Linked DNA regions of Callithrix jacchus. The protein of the gene in region 1 interacts with the protein of each later gene in a pairwise test. Links are inferred from orthologs where the notes say so. Each region holds a gene or a part of one and is shown on either strand. Other genes may lie near its edges.

Region 1 (4,151 bases):
GCAGGCACAACTGAAATAACTGCTAATGGCCTTCCCAGCTCACCATCATATGCCCCTCCCCTTCTCTTCTCTCCCCACCTTGTTGAGGCATTTAGCTGGCTATCCAAATCTATCATCATCTATCGTCAATTCTGACTTCTGGCTTCACAGGTAGGATATTTATTTGCAAGGGTACTAAAATGAAGCATCCTCAGACAAACTACCACTGATCACAAAAGCAAACCCAGGAAGAAAACTACTCATTTGCACCTATGACCAAGCCCTCCTTTTCAGAGACCCATTCTGTGAAATAAATGGGCCAACAGTTTGCAGCAACATTTTCCCCACTATAGGCTGTGACAGGACACAGGTCTAGAACTTTTAAAGTCACAGGAAGAGACCAAATGCTTTATAGGGCCAACACAGAAGCTATAGCTCTAATTACTGTCGTTAATACACTTAAAATAAGACTCGGGGGGGGGGGGGCGCGGTAGGAGTTGAAGGATAGGAGTTGGTTTGTACATGGCATAGTAAGCCAAGCATAGAAAAGCAAAAACATAATTGTATCTTCTGGCACTTTCTAGGTTTCCCAAGTCTTTCAGCCAAATTGCCCTTTATAGGTCTGAAGCCCCTTGTAACGTGCTCCACACCTTAAAATTTAATTATTTTTTTCATATTTGGGGTGGGGGAGGGGAGCTGACAACCATGGCCAATAACTGTTCCTTCTCAACTGAATCACACCAAAATCTTTAAGCGTCTTCAAAAGTATATACTTAAAATTACTACAATAAATGAATGCGTACAAAAAAAAAGAAAAAATAAATGAAAACGTGTAACCCTTTCGAAGTCTCCACTGCTTATTAAATACAAAAGCTTCTATTCTAAAAAAATATGGCAACCTGCTGTTTAATGTTCCTAAGAAAGAGCTGAACCTACCCCTAATAGGAAAAAGAAGCAAAATGGGATGTCATCTCAACCAAATCATTCTCTCCCAGGAGAGGTGACATCAAAGGGGCAGAACCTTGCTTTAAAGCAAAAGCTGTTGGGAAGACGCTAAGTCAGTCACCTCTTCCCCAAAAGGTGGGGCAGGGGAGGCCTGAGTCTACTTGGCAATATTTAAAGTACAAAACTCAAGCAGAAGATTGAAACCAATATGGGTAATGCCGGCACAGTTTATATATATATACACAGAGAGAGAGAGAGAGAGAGAGAGTGAGTTTGTCACGGAGTCTCGCTCTGTCACCCAGGCTGGAGTGCAGTGGCGTGATCTCGGCTCACTGCAACCTCCGCCTCCCAAGTTCAAGCGATTCTCCTGCCTTAGACTCCTGAGTAGCTGGGATTACAGGCGCGCAACACCAGGCCCGGCTAATTTTTGTATTTTTAGTAGAGACAGGGTATCACCATGGTGGCCAGGCTGTTCTCGAACTCCTGACCTCAGGTGATCCGCCCACCTCGGCCTCCCAAAGTGCTAGAATTACAGGGGTGAACCACCGCGCCAGGCCTGTTTAATATTACTATGATCGAAAAACACAGTGGCAGGAAACTCTGATTGGTCTCTCTGTTACGGGTGTCTTCACCTTCTGACATTTTTCACCTGGAAAGACTCCTATTAGGCTCTGTATAAAGTCAGAGGTCTTCTGAATCCGGAATGAGCTTAATAAACCGCAGAAAGTGACACCTGCGCTATTCGACTAACAGCCCCCTTCTGCTCCGAGTCCTCACTCCCTAAACAACCTTCGCAGTTGTTTGACACAAACCGAGCGCTTCAGCCCGGGGCGATTTTGGGGGATGGAGTAATTGCCTACAGCTTATCCCAAATCGAGTCTGCGCCCGGTGCGGTTCTGAGTTTTACTCTTATTGCCTCATTTAACCCTCACAACCACCTTGTAAGGCAAGAATTACCAGCTTTAGTATACAAATAAAGACTCGGAGGCGCTGAGACATTAAAGGAAAACCCAAAGAACACAAAGGCTGGGGAGCTGGGACTAGGTTTGTCCGATCCCCAAACCCTTACGCAAGGATTTTTTTAATAGGCGCGACCCTGTCCCAGGCGGCTCCTCCCTGACAAGGGTCAGTCTGACCACTTTTAGGCCTAGGTGATGTCATGCCCGGGGTGCCCCAGGAAAGGGGCTCATGCCGGCGCCTCTGAGAGCCCCGAGTGCCACTCACCTTCCTCAGTCGCCGCCTCCCACCAGCAGCTCCCCGACTAAGGCTGGCACAGCTAGGTGAGGTCCCGCGCAGCTAGGTGAGGCGCCGCCTCCGCGACCGTTGCCGCCGCCGGAGGAGGGCGGCAAATCAAGCCCTAGCGCATCGAGGGCCGGCCCTTTCTCCGCCTGCGAAAGCCCGCAAGCGATTCTCTCCGGCCTCACGGGGAGGCTGGGTCCGCCCCGCGCCCTCCGGTTGGCTCAGCTGCTAGGGGCGGGGCTTACCGCAAAAGTAGGCCTCGTTGCGCTGCGCTGGTCGCTGGCACGCTGGCGCATTTCATAGCCCTCCCTAGGTTCCCCTGTCACTTACATGGAGCCTCATTTGTCCGGAAGACGTAAAAAATACTTGTGGTCGTGGGTGAAAGTGAAGCCTGGGTTACCTACCCACCAGAGACTGCCCTCTCTCTCGCCCTCTACTCCGCCGCGACTGCGAGCTCTTACCAGAGTACGGATCACCATATTCTCGATGTTCCAGACCTGGCTGAGCACTGTAGCAGCTGACATTTGCAGGACCGCATTAAATGTTTGTTGATCACATTTCATCTTTCCATTCAGCATTTTCCACTTCTCAATGAAGCGTCAGGCCTCTCGGGCTGTAGCTGTCCACCATTGTCATTGTGTATTATAGCCACATGGTGTCGCTCTTGACAACCTGTCTTTTCAAATTAGTCAAATAATGTAGGTCTGTAGTGGATGCAGGTGCCACAGCAGCCAACAGGGATGTCCCATCAAGGGCATCAGCCAAGGGTGTCTCACCAGAAGGTCCAAGGGCTCTTGGAGCTCAATACTTTCAGACCCTTCTTAGCCTTCTTCCAGGCAGATGGGACCACTTTTAATTTTGATCTCTGTGTTTGACCCAGGCAAACGTGTCCCTGCCCCATCCTATGCCCACCCCCTTTGCTTTTCATACCTGGATATTCACTCTAAGGATGATTAGCAGATTGGCATTTTCAGTTCTCAAAAGGCAATAGTCTCAGTGCTTGCCTTTTCCAAGACAATAGGGTGCCCTTGCGCACTCTTCTGAGCATGGCTGCCCTGATTGTAGAGGCCAAACATATTTGGGTCAGTTATGATTATTTTGGAGGCATGTGATATAAAATCTGAGTTAAATTGTCTTGCTAAAAAATAAGGAAGTTGATTATCTCGCATAACAGAAAGACCAGAGGCAAGGTAGACTTTGATTAATTCAGTGGCTCAGCAAGTTACCACAGACCCAGTTGCTATAGTCTCTCTGCTCTGTTGTAGAAAAGGGTAGACTTCAAATTCATACTGACGTGATTTTCCAGGTGTTTACTTGGAGAAATCAGGACCACATACTTTCTTTTTCATCTAAAACCCTTCCTCCTGGTTTTTAAAGCCAATTGGGTCACACAGGCACACACTCTGCCTCTTTATTAGTAACTGCCTGGGAAATGTACAGAAGCTTAAGCCTGGGTTCCGGAAGTGAAAAGGAGCTATGACAATTGGAATTGGCAGTGGTGTCAGTGCTCTTTGAGTCACATGAGTTGCAAGGTGGAGGCATGTCTGTTTGAATAAAACCGAGACCTGTAAGGGAGGAGAATGGATGCTAGATGGATTATCACCAGTATCCTTCATGTCTTCAGAGCACAAGAAGGCTGATTCCTATTTTCTAACTGGATATTTTATGTGATCAATGGAGGGGAAGAGGTGTTATAGCATTGCCCTCCAAAACAATTCCCTTCTTATGGATGGTGAAAGCCTTTCCAGCACCTCTGTTTGCTAGAGAAGGAAAGCATCCTGCACACAGATTTAGTTTTTCACTGAGAATCCTGCCACATTGGTCTCAAGAGTTTTCTATGGGCCTCATCCACCCACTAGAATTCTAATCATTGTAAACATTCATTTAACATTCATTCATTTATAAAAATTTGTTAAGCACCTGTTATGTACCAGGGATTGAACTAGATGCTGAGTCAGATTTATAAGTGGGGGAGTTTACAATGGTAA
Region 2 (4,116 bases), on another chromosome or scaffold:
ATGTGTGTGGGAGCTTGCAGCAGGCGGTGGGCGGGGGTGGGTGGCAGTGGAGATTATTTACAAAATAAATGGATAGGACCTGGTGCCTGGGGAAGAGGAAGGAATTGGGTGTGAGGCCCGTGTTCAGGCAGATGTCTGGATTGAGAAAGTTTTCTGGAAGAAGCAGTTTTGGATCAGTCAACCGAGGCAGAGAAAGGCCCTTTTGGAGATGGAATGCACTCCCTCCAGTCTCCTGGGACTAAAACACAAACCAAACTGTGGTGGTTTTAAAACGTCTAAAAAGTCTTCCTCTCTCATGAAGCAGCTTCATGAGAGACCATGAGCTACAACCACTAGCCACACTGTTGCTAGATCCCTGACCCTCAGAAAAGTATGAGGTAATATGTGTTGTTTTCAATCCGCTGAATTTTGGGGGTAATGTGTAAAACTACTGTAAATAACCATCAGTGACGACCAAACTTTTGCCCTCTGAGACCCACCAGAGGCAGCTAACACTCCCCCCACCCCACCCCCACCCCCCGCCGTCTCAGGAAACACCACTTTCCACTCTTGTGTCCCCGACAGGAATCATCAGACATCGCTGACTCTTACCTTCTCAAGCAACACAACCCACCCTCCTGGCGCCTCACTCTGCCTCACCTCAGCCTCTAGGCAATATCTCTCGGTTGTGAGGCCTTCATTGGCGGGGGTCGAGTGTTGTATGTGACCCCAGGTCTCCAGTAAGACATGGTGGGAGGGAAGCAGCCTGGTGAAGGCAGGTGGTGGGATGGGGCTCTCTCCCTCTTCCCCATGCCGCCACCCTCCCTCACGCCCATATCCCGTCCAAAGCTCTTCCCGCGTCTGTTTCTGAAACCCCTCCACGTCCCCCTCCACCTCAGACCTCACCCTAGCCCCCGCGTCCCGCGACGCCAGCCTCTCACCCCACCGCGCCCTGACCCTCGCCGACCGAGCATCGCGGGCTGCACCGGGTCCCAGGCCTGTGCCTCTTCCCCAGCTCCCAGAGGTTTTTGCCAACCACCCTCCTGCGCCACAGCTGTTCATGTGCTGTTTACTTGCTTTTCCCTCCCCACCAAAAGGTGAGCCTTGAGAGGACACACCCTTGCGTAGAGCTTTGAACTTTTATCCGGAAAGGTGCCGGGCACATAATCAATGCCCGCGAGCACTCGCTTACGAGGGTCCTCCCGAGACCCACCGCAGCCTCTTCCCGGAGCCCCGAGGCCCCGCCCCTCACGGCTCCGCGCCCCGCCCCGCTTGCGCCCTGCGGGACCCGGAGTCACAGGCGCGCTTCTGTAGGACGGAATTCGGCGTCGGACTCTGAGCCTCCTGGTTCCGGTGGCGACTGCAGCGCATGGCGGTGAGCGGTGTGGAGAAGACGGGAGGGTGGCGGGACCTTGCAGCGTCTGCGGCCCTAAGTGACCCTCGTGCTGTTCCCCTTTCTCCAGGCCCTAGGACATCCTGCCGGGGAGGCAGCGGCGGCCCCAGGCCCGGGTACTCCCTGCGCGTCCCGCAGACACCTGCTCCCCGACCCGGTTTCCAGCGCCCGGAATCCTTCCGCTGTCTGTCTCTGCCCAGGGCAACCCACGGGCAGTAACACCGTCTCCAAAGTGCACCCGTTAGGCGATGAAGGCAGCGCAGCGTCGAAAAAACAAAAGAAGAAGAAAACCCGGAACAGGGCCTCTGTGGCAAATGGAGGCGAGAAGGCCTCAGAGAAACCCGCCCCAGAGGAAGTCCCCCTAAGCGCTGAGGCCCAGGCAAGGGCGGATATCAGTCGGGAAGGGTGGAATCCCGGGTGCCAGTCCACGGGCTCGTGTGGTGTGGGTCCACGAAGTTAAGGCGGGGAGGGGGATGGGATGGGGCCAGGGGCTCTGGTGTCCCAGGGCCCTCTCACAGCCACTTCCCCCAATCCATCACAGGCACAGCAGTTGGCCCAGGAATTGGCTTGGTGTGTGGAGCAGCTGGAGCTGGGCCTCAAGAGGCAGAAAGCCACTCTGAAACAGAGTAAGGGACCCTTCTGTAGAGTTAGGGGATGTGAATATTGGTACTGCCTGCCCTGCAGGTGCTGGCAGGGGATGGAGTTGTTGCCTTTGCGGTGGGGTGGTAGGAGCTCAGTATAGAGATGTTAACTAGTCCTTTATTTTTATTCGCAGAAGAGCAGGCTATTGGAGCAATCCGAGCCCTGCGCAGCAAAAGAACTCCCCTGCCCCAGAAGAGGCTGCTGATGCACTCCTTGTTTGGAGACTACAGGGCTCAGATGGAAGCCGAATGGCGTGAGGCCCTGCGGGCTCTCAGAGGTGGTGAGGAGCTAGCAACTGGTTGATTCAGAAGTCTTAATTTAAGGAGGAAGTATCTGGGGAGTGAAAGGAAGAAGGCCCAGAGCAACAAGGCTGGTGGGGGAAGGAGATGGGCTCAGGGAAGGCTGAGAAAGCAGGGAGAGATAAAGCATAGACCTCTCTTTCTCCTCTTCGCAGGACTGAACCTGGGAGGCAGTGGGGAGGTCCTGGGAGGAGGGGGAAAGAGCTTGGTCCTGTGTTGGTCTTGCTCCTGGGTTGGGGAAAGCTGCCTCATGTCTTTGTGTTGTGCCTTTCTCTACTGGCCATGAAGTCGTATCCCATAACGCTTTGAGTGCAATTCCTGGAGCCATATGAACTAGGGTCTGTCACATAGTAGCACTAACACATTTTGTAAACTACTGAATCTCTCTAAATGGGGGGTGATGGTAATATCAACCTTACAAATTTGAGGAATTAATCCATTAATTTATGCAAAGTGGTTGGAATTGTATGGGCAAACATACTGTACAGATAATGTTAGCTGTTATTATTCAGTCCTGACATACTTTGCTTCTCTCCCCCTGACAGCTGCTTATTCAGCCCAAGTGCATCCTGTAGATGAAGCCACTAGAAAGAAGAGCCAAAGGGTCTGCAGGCCTCGCCCTTTAGGGAGAGCCGAAGCCACTCTGGAAACTGCTCTGCCTGATGAAGAGTTTAGGTTCAATTTCTTTTAGCTTCTCCCCCAAGTTGGAACAGTCCCCCTCCCTTGGTGTGATGTAGGGATTTGTCTTGAGTGCAGAGTCTTTCCAGTACTTCTGTTCGCAGAGAACCCTGGGGTTGGTCTTTCCCTGCCTGGTCCAAGGATTTGGAGCTGTTTTGCAGGTGTGAGACCATCAGACAGGCACAAGACCCCATTTGTTTTCTGATGAAATGTTCCCTCTTCCAGAAGAGAGAGAGAGGTGCAGTTAGAAAATATACAATAAATTGAAATGAGTGTTCAATGTATTGTAGAAAGAATATTGTACTCAGTCTTTAGAATTAGATTAAGTGGCTGTTGGTCACAAAGATTAGTTGGGAATCTATTTAATCATACAGTGGTTTTCACTTTTGGAGGGAATCCCTGTTACGTGGTTTAATGCTTTATGCTGTTATGTCACATTGTCTTAATCTCTGTTTTTGGTAAAATTGGGTAAGGAGTGAAAGACCACCTGTGTTAGAGGAAGTACAGAAGATGCAGGGGTCTAGTATCTCTGGGTCCAGGCTCCCACCTGGGTCCTTTGTCCATGTTGCCTTCATTCCTGACCAGGTGTCATCCTCAGGGAACCAGCATGGCCCCCACCAGGCCAGGCTCTGTTCTTAGGAGCAAGGAGCTTCTTGCCTTAACAATTCTGGCCTGAGACCTGGATTGAGCCTCAGTGGACTTCTTGTCTAAATGTTGGCCATGTCAGTCTCAGGTCCTCTGTTCCGTGGAATTGTGAATCTCCAGGTAACCTAATCCTTATTGGTGGCTCAGTATTTGCTGGTGTCTCCCAAACTCAATTTCCAGACCTGGACCCCAACTGCCTACTAAACATTTTCACTGGGGTATTTCATAGGCATTTCAAACTTGATATATTTTTTTAATTGCATTTTAGGTTTTGGGGTACATGTGAAGAACATGCTAGTTGCATAGGTACACACGTGGCAGTGTAATTTGCTGCCTTCCTCCCCTTCACCTATATCTGGCATTTCTCCCCATGCTATCTCTCCCCAACTCTCCACCCTCCGCTGTCCCTCCCCTATTCCCCCTAACAGACCCCAGTGTGTAGTGCTCCCCTCCCTGTGTTCATGTGTTCTCATTGTTCAA
Region 3 (4,106 bases), on another chromosome or scaffold:
CATACCCAGGGCAGAAAATCTGGGAGTTAAGTGAGAATATAGGCAGGTGAATTCTACCACCCAGGGATGATGCGGCCTTTGGAGCTTTTCTCCCATGGTAAACAAGCAGCAGTTCCAGGAGCCAAGGATGATCTGCCAATGAGACGCCTCATCTTCTTTCTGTCCCCATGCCTTTGGACAATCGGGTGGACTTCAGCTTTTTCCAGTTAAAACACCCGCAGACTGCTGGTGGCGTGCATGCAGCTTTGCCTGAATTTCCAAGTGGGTTCTCTGTATATACCTTGTTGTACCACAATTATATGTATAAGCAGTTACACGTGCTTTGGGGAATGAGTCAGGGAATAAAACTCCCAAACAAAACACAAACATTTCTGGGTAGCAATTGATTCCTATCCCCAGACCAAAGCCAAAATGCAGACCCAGCAAGGCCAGATGCCCTTGCCATGGGAACCCAACCCTCTCCTCCAGGAAGAGTCAACACATTAAAAATAAATGGGGTTTTTATTGTGTGTCCACGAAAACAAAGTCATGGTGGCCTTTGGTTAATCCCCTCAAGATGACAACTAAAAGGAGGCATGCATGACAACAACAATAACCATGTTCTCTGATGGAGCGAGGCCTTGCCCTCCTGGACCCTAAGGGTTACAGGCAAGCAGGGCCAGGAGGCTAGAGAGGAAAGCACACCCAGGTCCCCCAGATCATGGAGGGCTTGAGTCTGCTGCCTCCCTGGTGGGACAAGGCAGGGGAGCAAGCACTACTCTGGGCTGGGCCAGCGCCCCCCAAGCGAGAACACACACAAAAGCCCCCACCCCCACCCCCACCCCCACCCTCACTGCTAAGGCCATCAGCCAGGACTTCCCCAGAAGAGCTGGCTCTGAAGCCCAGACCCTCAGGGCTCCCTCCAGAAGGGGTTGCCTTCCTCCGCCTGCATGAAGTAGTAAACAAAGAAGAGGAAGATCGCAAAGACCAGGAAAAGCAGCAGCTGGCCCCAGAGCGGGACCTGGCGATCATGGCCAAGCCCAGCCCCAGGAGCATGCTTTTCTGGCCGGATGGCTCGGCGGGTAAGCCATGAAGGGGAAGATGAAGATGAGGACACAGAAGAGGTGGAGGAGGAGGTAGGATAATAGGATAGGCCCAGGGAGCTCCTGGAGGCTGAAACAGGGCGGTAGTGCGCGATGCTCTGGTAGGCACTGTCCCGGCCGTACATGGGACGTTCCCTGAGGCAAAAGAGGGGAGCAGGTGGGCCAGGAGCCTGGGTGCAGAACCAGTCCCTGTTCCTGGGCCTGCCCTCTACGTACCTATCCTTGCACTCCTCTTCAGAAGACAAAAGATTGTCATCACGCACCTGCAGAAGAGAGTCAGGGTGAGTGGACCGACTGGCAGGGCCACCATGGCCCTGCCACATCCCTCAGTCCAAACTTCCCCAGCTGGTGCCCTCTGACCTTTGGTTAGAGGCCAGGGACCCACACCCTCCCGAATGGCTCTTGGTGTTCAGTCTTTTGTTTGTGGGGTCTTGTCACTTGTGCTCATGCCCTGCTATTCCCTTTTGCCCCCAGGAGTCTCAGGAAAAGCTTGAGCCTAGATTGCAGACCAGGGTGCTCTAGTCACAGTTCTGATGGCTCCCCAAAGTAGGGACCTGGCCAAACAGGCGTCTGCTGAGCCAGTCTCCCCAGAAGCACAGAAGCCACCATTTGTATCCAGTGGCCCCCTGGATTTATCCAAACACAGCCGCCATCCCCTAGATTGTACTCAAGTACAGGGCACCTGCCAGCCAGCTCACCTGGTGGTGGAAAGTGTCAGCATCTGGGAGTGAAGTCGCAGACTGGCGGAAGCCCCTGGACTGGCCCGCAGAGTCGGGCTCCCCATAAGTCCTGGTAGTTAAGTAGCTCTCTTCATAGTAGTCGTCATTGTAGCCTTGGGAAGGGGGGCAGCGGTAGCAGAGGGGGCATCGGTGTGCCCCACCTGGCCTGCTGGCCCTAATCTGAATCTCTTTCGGGACCTGTGACAGTTTCTCCCTCCTAAGGCTGCTGGAGTGGTTGGGGCTGAGGTCTCAGGTCCTCCCTGTGAGCGGGGTCCCTGACGCAGTCAGGTGAACGTGCCAGCGTGCCCACCCCACCCCTGCCTTACCCTTGCTCTGGTAGAGTAAGGCGTCCTCTTTCTTGGGAAGATCATACATATCTGAATCCACTGACGGCGAATTCAAGTCTGGATTGAAGGGAGGCGACAGAACTGTTTGCCCCCCAGGCTTCCCTCCCCTCTCCCCGGTGCCGCTCTCGACCGGCGCCCCTGCCACACCCTCGCGACCCCGATCTCCCCGCATCCCAGGCCCGGTCCCCACAAGCGAGGCTCTCACCAGAGAAGCGATAGGAGAAGGAGGCGGCGGACGAGCTGGGGGGCGAGAGCCGCCGCCTCTGGGTCTCGTACTCGAAGATCTTCTTCTCGTAAAGCTTACGAGTAGACCCTGGCCGGACACGAGGCGGTCAGGGCCACAAGCCGGGGAAGGCGCGCGGGTAGGGTGGCGGGGAGGGCGCGGGGCAGAGCGCGGGGAGGGGGCCCGGGGGCAGGTCCTGCCCGCCGCCGCGTACCGACAACTGGCCCGTGAGGTATGTTGTACTGGCGCAGCACGGCGGCCAGCTCGGTATCCGAAAGACCCGCGTAGTCGTCCATGGCGGGTGCGGGCGCGGGCGGAAGCCGGGCCCCTGCCAAAACCCGCCGAGCAGCGGCTGCCGAGGATCACGGCGGGGGCGGCACGAGCGCCTCGGGAGCGATCGCGCTCGCGTCACAGCCAAATCACTGTCTCGTCACGGCCTCGGGCTCCGCAGGCTGCGCGCGCTGTGCGGGGAGGGGCTTAACGGCGGGAGCAGCAGGCGCAGAACGGCCGGGCCTTGGGAGCTGGGAGGCTGGGGCAGTGAGTCCAAACGTCATAAACGCACGGATTGGCTAGCGGCGGACGGGGCGGGGCCCGCGCCGAGAGTCAGGACAGTGGGAATCAGTCTCGCGGTGGGAGTGGGCGGGGCCGCAAGCCCAACGTCACAAACACACGGATTGGCTAGCGATGGAGGGGGCGGGGCCCGCGCGGGAGCGGAGCAGAAGGTGTCGCGGTGGGAGCGAGCGGGGTCGCGAGTCCGTACGTCACTAACGCCCGGAGCTGTTGGGGGTGGGGCCCGCACGGGAGTCTGGGCGGTGCGGCTGGGAGCCTAGACGTCACCTTGAGGCGTGCGTGAGCCAGTCGGTAGAGAGGGGCGGGGCCTGTGTGTCTAACACCCGGCATCTGCCGGCCGGGAAGTGAGAGCGGCCTAAGTGGGCGCTAGCGGTGGCTCTGGTCCCTAAGTCACTTGGGCTCCCCACCGTCCCAGCACATCCCTTCTCTACGCCCTGGTCCCCTTTCCCGTGGCCCCAGGGCGTAGGATTCCCCGGCCGCATCCGGGTCGGCCGCCCCAGCAGCGGCGGGAAGGGTCTGAACCCTAAGGGAGCGCCGGCCCCGGGCTAGGCACTACTGAGGGAGCTTTGTGTGCGCATCACCTGGGAAGCGGCTGTGGGGCAAGGCCCGCGCCTACGCGGTCCTCGCAGACCCCCTGCCACGGGCCCACCTTCCCAGTCTGCAGGGCTGTCGCCCGTGCACATATGCTCGCTGCTTCCCACCGCCTCCCTCCTTCCTTTTCTCCTACCTCGCTCCACCCGGGAGGAAATGGGGCACTGGGCCAGGAGGCCGCCGGCACTCCAGGAGCAAGCAGCCTTCGAAGGGGCCCGGGCAAGCCAGCGAGCACGCCAGTGAGCGCGGACAGAGGGCGCTGTGCGATGTGTGCAGAGATGACGTGTGTCCAGCCTAACGCTTCATGTCGTTCATTCACCCGGGGCACTGGCGGGAGCTGAAGTGGGGCTTCCTCTTCTGTCGGAATGGCCCCTGAGCCCAGCATAGCCCGGCAGGGGGCAGACGTGGGTGTCGAGCTATGGAAGGGCTGCCAAGGCCTGCTCAGGAGCCTGGACTGTGGCTAGGATTCCCAGGACCTTGATCAGATAAGGGCTGCCCTACGGAGAATGGAGAAGAGGTGATATTCTTTTTTTTTTTTTTTTTTTTTTTTTTTGAGAGAGTCTCGCTCTGTCAC
Region 4 (4,009 bases), on another chromosome or scaffold:
AGAATGAGTGTGAAAGGCAAACAGTGTTAGGAAAATAGGCTTGACACCACGGCACCCCCCGGAAAGGGAGTCAGGACCCCTAGGGCTCCCTGGACCACATGGTGAGAACCACTTTTCCACCCAGCCATCCCTTCACGGGGTCCCTGGCTGTTCCACCCAGAGCTCCTGCTGTGCCTGTGCCAGGCTGCTGCCAAGCCCTGAAGATCTGGGTCCTGCTCTGCCAGGGCAGGGTCCTCCTCCTCACCCCTTGGGTCGCTGTGTCTCAGAGCCATCCTTTTCCTTTCTGCTGTGATTGCCTTCATCACTGCTGTGCCGTCTCTTCTTCCCCAGATGCTTCTGCATCTCCCGCAGAGGGTCCAGGCGGCTCTTTATTTTCTCATCTGGGGCTGGGCCAGGCGGGGGACCCCCTCGCTCTGGTGGGAGCTGGTACCAAGGGGGTTGAGTCTGGGCCTCGGCTGCACTCTGGCCCAGGTATGTCAGGATGCCCAGAGCTTTCTCTTGTCTCTCCTGAGGGGTCAGGAAATAAAAGAGATGGGATATAATCTTTCAGGGTGTCAGGTTTATCTCCCTGACACAGGTATCTAAGGCCTATGGTGAAGCAGCTGTGCCAGGTGCTGGGGAGGGAAGAGACCAGCAGAGGCCAAGCTCCTGCCCTGGGGTGACGATAGCAGGGACAGTCACAGAAAGCAGAGGAAGGAGGGGATGGGGTGGAGCTGCCTGAATGTTCAGAGGCAGGCATCTTTGCAGGGAGCAAGCAAAGCAAGAGGACCCGTGGGTGGGGTCAGCAAGTCCAGAGACAGCAGGTGAGGAACAGGAGCTTTTACACTCGATCTTAGCCAAAAGGCAAGAAGTGATTGATTCACTTTTTTTTTTTTTTTTTTCCTGAGATTGAGTCTCACTCTTGCCACCCAGGCTAGAGTGCTGTGGCACGATCTCAGCTCACTGCAGCTTCCACCTCCTGGGTTCAAGCGATTCTCCTGCCTCAGCCTCTGGGACTAAAGGTGCATGCCACCATGCTCAGCTAACTTTTTTTGTATTTTTAGTAGAGATACCATGTTGACCAGGCTGGTCTTGAACTCCTGACCGCGGGTGATCTGCCCACCTCAGTTTCCCAAAATGCTGGGATTACAGGCATGAGCCACCACCAAGCTGATTTAGATTTTTAAAAGCTCATCAGGTTTGAGACCCCTCCAGTTTGGAGACCTGAGCAGTTCACCTAGCAGCTGGGGATCTCGAGCATCTACCTCCAAGCCCTGAGGGCACCCAAATGGCAACAGCCACCACTTCTGAGTGTGCTTTGGTATGGTTCTAAATTCTGAGTGTTCACTCTTGTTTAGCCTTAGTCACAACCAATGGCTAAAGTGTCCCTCCCCCCAGCTCCATTCATGTCTCTGATGAAGTAGATAAGGCCAGCTTACTTTCTCCTGTCGCTTTTCTTCCTCGTGCTCTTTATTGCCTCTGATCAGGCCTTTCCCCTCCTCCAGCAGCTCTCGAAACAGGTCCACAGGGCCAGAACTTGGGGCTCCCACCTCTGCTGCCTCAAGCTCAGGCAGTGAGTTCTGATGTCTGGCTTTCTTCCGTAGGAATTCTGTACGGGCCTGGGGAGAAAGTTACAGGCAAGACATTAAAAACCTAAAGGTAATTCAAGAACTTTTAAGTCTGGTGCGCACCACAGGAAACAGCAGTCCAGGGTGCTGGGTTTGTAAGAAAGGGGGCACCTGTCCTAGCAGGGGTGAGGGTAGGCAGATAAGGCAACACCTGGGTTTTGTAAACTGCCTTTCAAATAGTAAACCACACATCAAGGATGGCTGGGAGGAGGTCCCTGGCCTAAACCAAAGGGGTTCCTAACCTCAAGTGAGACAATTAAAACAGCTATAAAGGTAGAACAAACTGCATTAGGTCAGATGATCTGGATTCCAGGCATGGCTCCAAGTCATTACCCCAAGTCCATTGATGAAGCCCGGTCTCCCACCTTCAGGACAAAGCTCTCAGCAGCCTACTGAGATTCTAAAAACCCAGACTACCTCCCTCCCAGTGTGGAGGATCAGACTGGCTAAGGAACTGAAAGTTAGGTGTACACCAAACAGATTTAAGGAGCTATACATAAAGCCCATGTTTGTGTGTGTGTCTGGGGGTGGTGCAGGGAAAGGGCTCGCCCAAGGGGGTGGAGACTTCCCCTCCCTTGACGCCATCTCACTTCGTGCCACGGAGATGACAATGCCTCTTTAAGAAAGAACGGTGCTTAAGGGGGATTCTGGAAGTCAGGCGTTCTGCATGCAGTTAGCATACAGTAACTGCTCAATAAATAGACTGTGCAAGCCAACTAGAAAGTGATCCGAATTTCCTCAAACTGTCCAAGGAATCCTGAATTCGGTAAACATTTATGCTTCTCTTTTGTGCTAGACACTGCTCTAGCCATGTGAAATACATCAGTGGGGGGAAACAAGACGAGGGGGCGATCAAGGGAGATTTCATGCAAGTGGGCACAACGTTTGCCGAGCAACGTTTCGGAAAAGAGGTCCGCGCCGGGTCACGAATTACATACGGGGCACACGGCGCCTGCGCAACGCGTCCACTTCCGGCCCCCTACCATGGCGCCTGCGCGCTGGGCCCCGGAGTTCCGCCCGGCCGGTTCCCAGGCTTACCTCCTGCTGAGCCAGCAGCACCCTCCGCTCACGCTCCTTCTCTTCCTCCCGGGCCTGGGCCTCGTCACGCCGCACGCGGGCAACATTGTCCTTGTTCCGGACGTGCCAGCTCTTCTTGGGCAAGATATTCATGGCGTCGTAGCAGTCCACGGACTGGCACGCCCGCCTCTCTGCACTTCCGATTGGCGAGAGAATGCCCCTTCCCTCTTGTCCCTACTTCGACCACAGATTGGTTCTTAACTCATTGGTACGGCCCCCTGGCCTGTAACGACAGGTGATTGGCTAAGACGCCCTTTATCTCAGCGAATGCCAGGCTTTTGGCGCGTGGTATCCCCTAGCAACCGCTTTTCACATATCCGAGCCAATCGCAAGTTGGCCCTCCCCTAATGCCAGATTCGGCCGCCGATTGGCCAACACAACCATCAAGTCTCCTTGCGGAAGAGCACTTCGAACGGCCACACATTCCCATGCATTTGATTGGCTCCCGCCCTGATGTAGCCCTGCCCCCACCTTCAGGACGCAGATTTCAAAGCGCGCTCAGTCACCTCGGCTGTGTTTATTCATAGAAGAAAGATCACCCGAGAGTCTGGGACGTGGCGGCGAGGGTCTCTGGAAACCTCCAGATCCTAGAGCTGGAAGAGCGTGGGGTCTTCTCTAGTTCTCCTAGTTTTACAGATGTGACCTAGGCTTACAATTGGCCTGGAGTCTGAAGGTGGGACATGGGCTGCAGGGGTCAAAAAGCCGGGTGGGTGGAGCTCAGCGCCACAGCGCGCCGTGCGAGGAAGACTTTGTTCTGCGCCTCCTGAGGCAAAGAGAGGTGGAGGTCAGACAGCCCTCTCCCCCAATGCCTTTCAATGTCCCCCACGGGGTCCCTCTCAGGGACCCGCCTGGCTCACCGTCTCTCTCTGACGTTTGAGCTGAGAGATGAGACGACCGTAGGAGTTAGCCAGAGCCACAGTGTACGCCATCAGGATGCTGGAGGAGACACGAACAGAAGCCACTCCTGACACGCTCCTCCATTCTATACAAACCCCTGGCTCCTTCAAAGCCAGGATGTCATCTACAAGGACTTCAGTCTCCCAGCCCAGGAGTCCTAAGTCCCACCCTCCTCCTCCTCCTCCTTTGGACCCTAGGCCTCCTCCCACCCCGAGCCTCTCCTCTCTCCGACGCAGGTGGTGGCCCCCAGATCACGTGCATTCAAACCCAGACCCAGAAGTCTGGGCAAACTCACCTGGAAATCAGCAGAAGGGGTACAGCAAAAGCCTGAGTCCCCAGGAAGAAGAGGAAGTTCTGGGCGGTCTCAGGGAGGCTGGAAATAGACTCAGGGATCTGGGCCCAGATGGACGACTGCCCCCGGAATGGAC
Region 5 (4,271 bases), on another chromosome or scaffold:
AACCTTGTCTGAGGCTCTGCAGTTTCTCAGCTGCTGTGATGAGGAGGACGGCCCCTTGTTCTGCATAACCTCACAGCAAAGCTCTCTAAGAATGAGTTTCAAGGCCCCTGTCCCATCTTTGTCTCCCAACAAAGCTTGAGGCCACGCTGGGGTCAGAAGATGGGAGAAGCTGGAAACATCGTCTTCCTGGGCCAAACAAGGCTTCAGGAAGGGATCTGTACATCTGTTCCCCTCTCTACCTCCCCCCTTTCTGTCCAGATGGGCAGGGTGTGGGTGAGAGATGAAGGGAGAGAGGATTAAAGGAGCAGCTCCCCCTGATCAGGAAGGCTGGGCAAGGAGGAGTCCTGCGCTGTTCAGATCTGCGGTGTGCAGAAGCTCTTCAGAAAAGCGGAGTCCACTGCTTTAAAGGCCAGGAAGGTTTGCCCCCTGGAAGGCCACACCAGAAAATTATGTACCTTAGGGTAGAGTGACCCCCTCATCTGTGGGGCACAGGGCAGTGGCCACAGCTGGGGTCTCTGTCCAAATCACCTTCCCCAGGTATGCTACATCCACAAGCCTGCACTCGCCTCTGCTCCTTCCCATAGAAGTGCATGCACAGTCACATACACCAAACTCATGCAAACACACTTACATATCACATAGACAAATACAGGCAAACATCCACAAAGGCACAAAAACACCCACGTGCACATAAAATACACACATATGCAGCTCCTCAACTTCTGATGGGGTTATTTCCCAATAAACCCATTGTAAGTTGAAAATGTGATAGGTCAAAAATGCATTTAATAACCCTAGACTACCAAGCATCATAGCTTAACGTAGCTTACCTTAAACATGTTCAGAGCAATTGCATTAGCCTACAGTTTAGCAAAATTTTCTACTACGAAGCCTATTTTGTAATAAAGTGTTGGATTTTATGGAATACTGTACTGAAAGCATAGCACTTTCACACCAACATAAATCGAACCATCCTAAGTCAGGGTTAGCTGTAAATGTACACACCATCCACACACAAACTCCAAACCTCCCCAACAGTGTCCAGCTATAGGAATAGGTGTGTCCACACCCAACCACACACGCGAAACGCGGGGCCCAGCTGAGAGACGGATAAAGGAGGCTGTGGAGAAGTCAAGAGACCAGCTGGGGATCCGCTAGAACAAGCAGCCACTGTAGCACAAATAAAAACTGCAAAACAGCAGAAAGGACATTTTGGTGGGCCCCAAAATTCTCTCCTTCTGGTATCTTTACTCACCTACAATCCATTCCTCAGGAGCCAATCCCACTCAGGTTGGAGGAATTGTCTCTTCTTTAAAGCCAAAAAGAAAGAAAAGAAAGAAGGAAGGAAGGAAGGGAGGGAGGGAGGGAGGGAGGGAGGGAGGGGGAGGGAAGGGGAGGGAGGGAAAGAAAAAAAGAGAAAAAATAAGAATAAGAGGAAGGAGACAGAGAAGAAGCGGGGGGGGGGGGAAGGAAGAGGAGGGAGAGGAGAAGAAAGAGAAGAAGTGAGAAGGAAAAGGAGAAGGAGAAGGGAGGAGGAGAAGGAGAAGGAGAAGGAACACCCAGCCAGGCACAGAGCCCAGGAGTGAGTTATGTGCCATTGGGTCTTACTCTCTGACCCAACTTGAATTTATCCTATGACTTTGATCAGGCCCCCAATCTTTTCTGAGTCTCCATCTGCTCATCTAGAAAATACCCCTGTCTCCTGAGACCTTAGGGGATTGGAGAGCCACCTCTGATCCCCAGCTGGGGTTAGGGGCAACAGGGGGCATGAAGGGAAATAAATGTTTACTAAAAGAGCCAAGGACAGTAGAGGTTTAAACCCCAAACACCAGGAAGCCCCATTGGAGAAGATAAGGTAGGAGGGTCAGGGTGAGGGGAGAGGCCAGGAGGGGCAGGAGGGGCCCAGCACGCACCTCTTTCTCGGCCTTGGCCTCCTCCACTGTCACGGTGCTGTGATTCTTGTGCTCCTGGAACATGCAGAGGTAGCAGATGCAGGTCTGGTCAGTCTGGCAGAAGAGCTCCATAGTCTTGCCATGCATGGGACACTTGCGGGCCTCGAAGTCCCGGATGGGCTCCAGCAGCTGGTGGTCTCGGAAGGCGGCGCCCTCCAGGTGGGGCTTGAGGTGCAGCTCGCAGAAGGAGGCCTGGCACACCAGGCAGGACTTGACCGCCTTCTGCTTGTTGCCAATGCAGGAGTCGCACAGCACCTCCTCGGAGCTGGACTTGGCCGGGGAGAAAAGGCCCGTGTCTGCCCGGGGGTAGCTGTTCCGCCGCGCCTCCCCGGGCTCCACGATGGACACTGAGGGCTTCCGCGGCTCCGAGAAAATGGACTTGCGCAGCTCGCCTTTTTCGGCAAAGGTGACGGGCGGCTTCTTGGCGGCCCCCAGCTGGAGCCCTGCGTACGGTGACCTCTTGCCTTCCAACGAGTCCATGCTGAAGTAGTTGGAGTTCTTGTCGTCGCCCGACTCGACAAACTGGATAATGGGTCGCCGCCACTCATTGCCCGCGAACAGGGCGCTCCTCCCTTCCCCTGGCTTCAGGGCACTGCCCAAGCTCTTGCCCTCGGCTGCCTCCCCGCTGTGCCCGTTGGTGGTCTTGGCATCCTTGCCGTCGGCCTTGGTGCCATTCTCCAGGCTGCCATTGGGACCCGACGGGCTCCGAGCATCCCTGGCTTCCGGGCTCGACCCGTTGCTCCTGGAGGCATCAGCAGCTTCCATCGCAGGGGGGCTCAGCTGATCTGTTTCAGGCTTGCTGGGGTTCAGGGTAGGTGACCTTGCTGGCGGGTGTCTCGGCAGGGAGTGGGGCAGGCAGCCGCAGGGCCCAGAGACACACCTGTGGGGAGGAGGAGGGGAAGGAGGTGGAGGGGAGGAGCAGCAGGTACAAGCCTGACACAACGGGCCCAGGGAGAAGCAGGCAGCCCCGGCAGCCAGCAGAGCAGATAATTACACGGGAGCCACGCCCTGTACAGTCATCCCTAACCTGATTTTTAAAAGAAGTGTTTTTTTCTCCCCCAGCTTAATTATTTTCCACAACTCAGCAACCAGTTGGGCTGCTTCCCTCTGACGCACTTGCTTCTCATCGGGGGAGCGGGGAGCCTCTGTCTTCACAGGTGGGCAGGCTTCACTGAGCCCAGAGGCCCCTGGGGCAGAAGATGAGGTGTCTGCAGAGGCCTACGGGGCACAGGGCTGTTAACTGGGTCACACAAGTCAAATAGCCTTGTAATTTGCGGGCCTGAGTTTCAGAAGAAAGATGGTCCACCCTGGGACTGTGGAGCTGCTTTTCACCACAAGCAGGGAGGATGGGTTCCGTTTGATTTGGCTACTGGTTACTGAACCCTACTTGACAACCTCCAGGCACATTCCTAGGTACTTAATATATATGACCTCATTCGAGCATCCCTAAAACCTGTTCAATTACCCCTTTTTAATAGATGAGAAAACCGAGGCTTTAAGAAGATAACTCACTGCCTAAGTCAAGTGGCAGAGCTGGGATTTGAACCCTAAGCCTTTGAGATGCCAAAGTCCCTTCTGCAGCTGGGAGGTCATGGAGTTACCTGAATATCTCACCAGAAGATGGCTTCTGAGAGTCTGACCTATCCCAGTGGCCCTAATAAGATACATGTAGACCTTAGATTATTGCTATCAGAGCAGGCCAGACCCTTCATGGATTCAAAGGACTGAGGCACGGGAATAAGGGAATCCAAGCAATGCCAGGCCAGGTGGTTGGGTTCTCAGGGCCCAAACACTTGACTCACCTGTCTCCACACTTGCCCTTCTGTGTGACTCAGAAAACATCTGCCCATCCTCTCTGGGCCAGGCCACAGGCAACGTCCTCCAAAAAGAGGCCAGTGAAGTGTGGGATTCAGATAATCTCAGAAGTCACCGGTTCAAATATGACTATCATATAAATACAGACCTCAGGAAGAAAAGTGAGGAAAACAAATGCTATCCCCTTCCCCTCCCTGGCCCCTGCAGAACACCAGGGACCCTCAGCTCTTGTAGGATATGCCCCGAAAGTCACTTCTGGGCTCTGACCCACTGGCCTCATCCTGGGAAGCCTCCAAACCCCCAAGGAAAGGGCATGCCTCTCCAGGGCCAGGCTGGGTGGGGCAGAGAAGACAGTTGGTGAGGCTGGCATGGCAGGTTCTGGGCTATGTGGAGGGGAGTGGGTTTCCCGTCCTTCACCTCAAATCCAGGTCAAGTCAGGAAGCCCCCGCCCCTTTGGCTGACCAGACCTTTAACAAAGGTAATCCTTTGTAAAAAACAGCCCCT

Evidence for each region. The genes of interacting proteins can lie anywhere in the genome.
Region 2: the proteins of CEP70 (region 1) and C16H8orf33 interact in binary tests that used the Homo sapiens proteins (3 or more experiments, as listed by UniProt). The link is inferred for Callithrix jacchus from reciprocal best matches to the Homo sapiens genes CEP70 and C8orf33.
Region 3: the proteins of CEP70 (region 1) and EMD interact in binary tests that used the Homo sapiens proteins (3 or more experiments, as listed by UniProt). The two-hybrid records come from large-scale screens. The link is inferred for Callithrix jacchus from reciprocal best matches to the Homo sapiens genes CEP70 and EMD.
Region 4: the proteins of CEP70 (region 1) and LENG1 interact in binary tests that used the Homo sapiens proteins (3 or more experiments, as listed by UniProt). The two-hybrid records come from large-scale screens. The link is inferred for Callithrix jacchus from reciprocal best matches to the Homo sapiens genes CEP70 and LENG1.
Region 5: the proteins of CEP70 (region 1) and TRIM29 interact in binary tests that used the Homo sapiens proteins (3 or more experiments, as listed by UniProt). The two-hybrid records come from large-scale screens. The link is inferred for Callithrix jacchus from reciprocal best matches to the Homo sapiens genes CEP70 and TRIM29.

What each region holds. Positions count from the first base shown.
Region 1 is NC_133518.1:45,772,877-45,777,027, reverse strand, and holds the start of CEP70 (centrosomal protein of 70 kDa), read right to left. Parts: upstream 2,801-4,151; 5' UTR 2,625-2,800; intron 2,311-2,624; exon of another isoform or gene 2,149-2,310; intron 1-2,148.
Region 2 is NC_133517.1:52,665,663-52,669,778, reverse strand, and holds the start of C16H8orf33 (UPF0488 protein C8orf33 homolog), read left to right. Parts: upstream 1-1,316; 5' UTR 1,317-1,348; coding exon 1,349-1,354; intron 1,355-1,442; coding exon 1,443-1,751; intron 1,752-1,913; coding exon 1,914-1,998; intron 1,999-2,147; coding exon 2,148-2,294; intron 2,295-2,858; coding exon 2,859-2,988; coding exon of another isoform or gene 2,989-3,004; exon of another isoform or gene 3,005-4,116.
Region 3 is NC_133524.1:150,171,788-150,175,893, reverse strand, and holds EMD (emerin), read right to left. Parts: upstream 2,801-4,106; 5' UTR 2,668-2,800; coding exon 2,586-2,667; intron 2,462-2,585; coding exon 2,354-2,461; intron 2,206-2,353; coding exon 2,128-2,205; intron 1,915-2,127; coding exon 1,781-1,914; intron 1,346-1,780; coding exon 1,299-1,345; intron 1,218-1,298; coding exon 890-1,217; 3' UTR 483-889; downstream 1-482. UniProt on the Homo sapiens protein: Stabilizes and promotes the formation of a nuclear actin cortical network. Stimulates actin polymerization in vitro by binding and stabilizing the pointed end of growing filaments. Inhibits beta-catenin activity by preventing its accumulation in the nucleus.
Region 4 is NC_133523.1:47,340,471-47,344,479, forward strand, and holds the start of LENG1 (leukocyte receptor cluster member 1), read right to left. Parts: upstream 2,801-4,009; 5' UTR 2,778-2,800; coding exon 2,646-2,777; intron 1,599-2,645; coding exon 1,419-1,598; intron 508-1,418; coding exon 245-507; intron 1-244. Other genes in the region: voltage-gated chloride channel TMC4, read right to left, coding at 3,379-3,447, 3,542-3,620, 3,877-4,009.
Region 5 is NC_133511.1:19,784,295-19,788,565, forward strand, and holds the start of TRIM29 (tripartite motif-containing protein 29), read right to left. Parts: upstream 2,801-4,271; 5' UTR 2,718-2,800; coding exon 1,914-2,717; intron 1-1,913.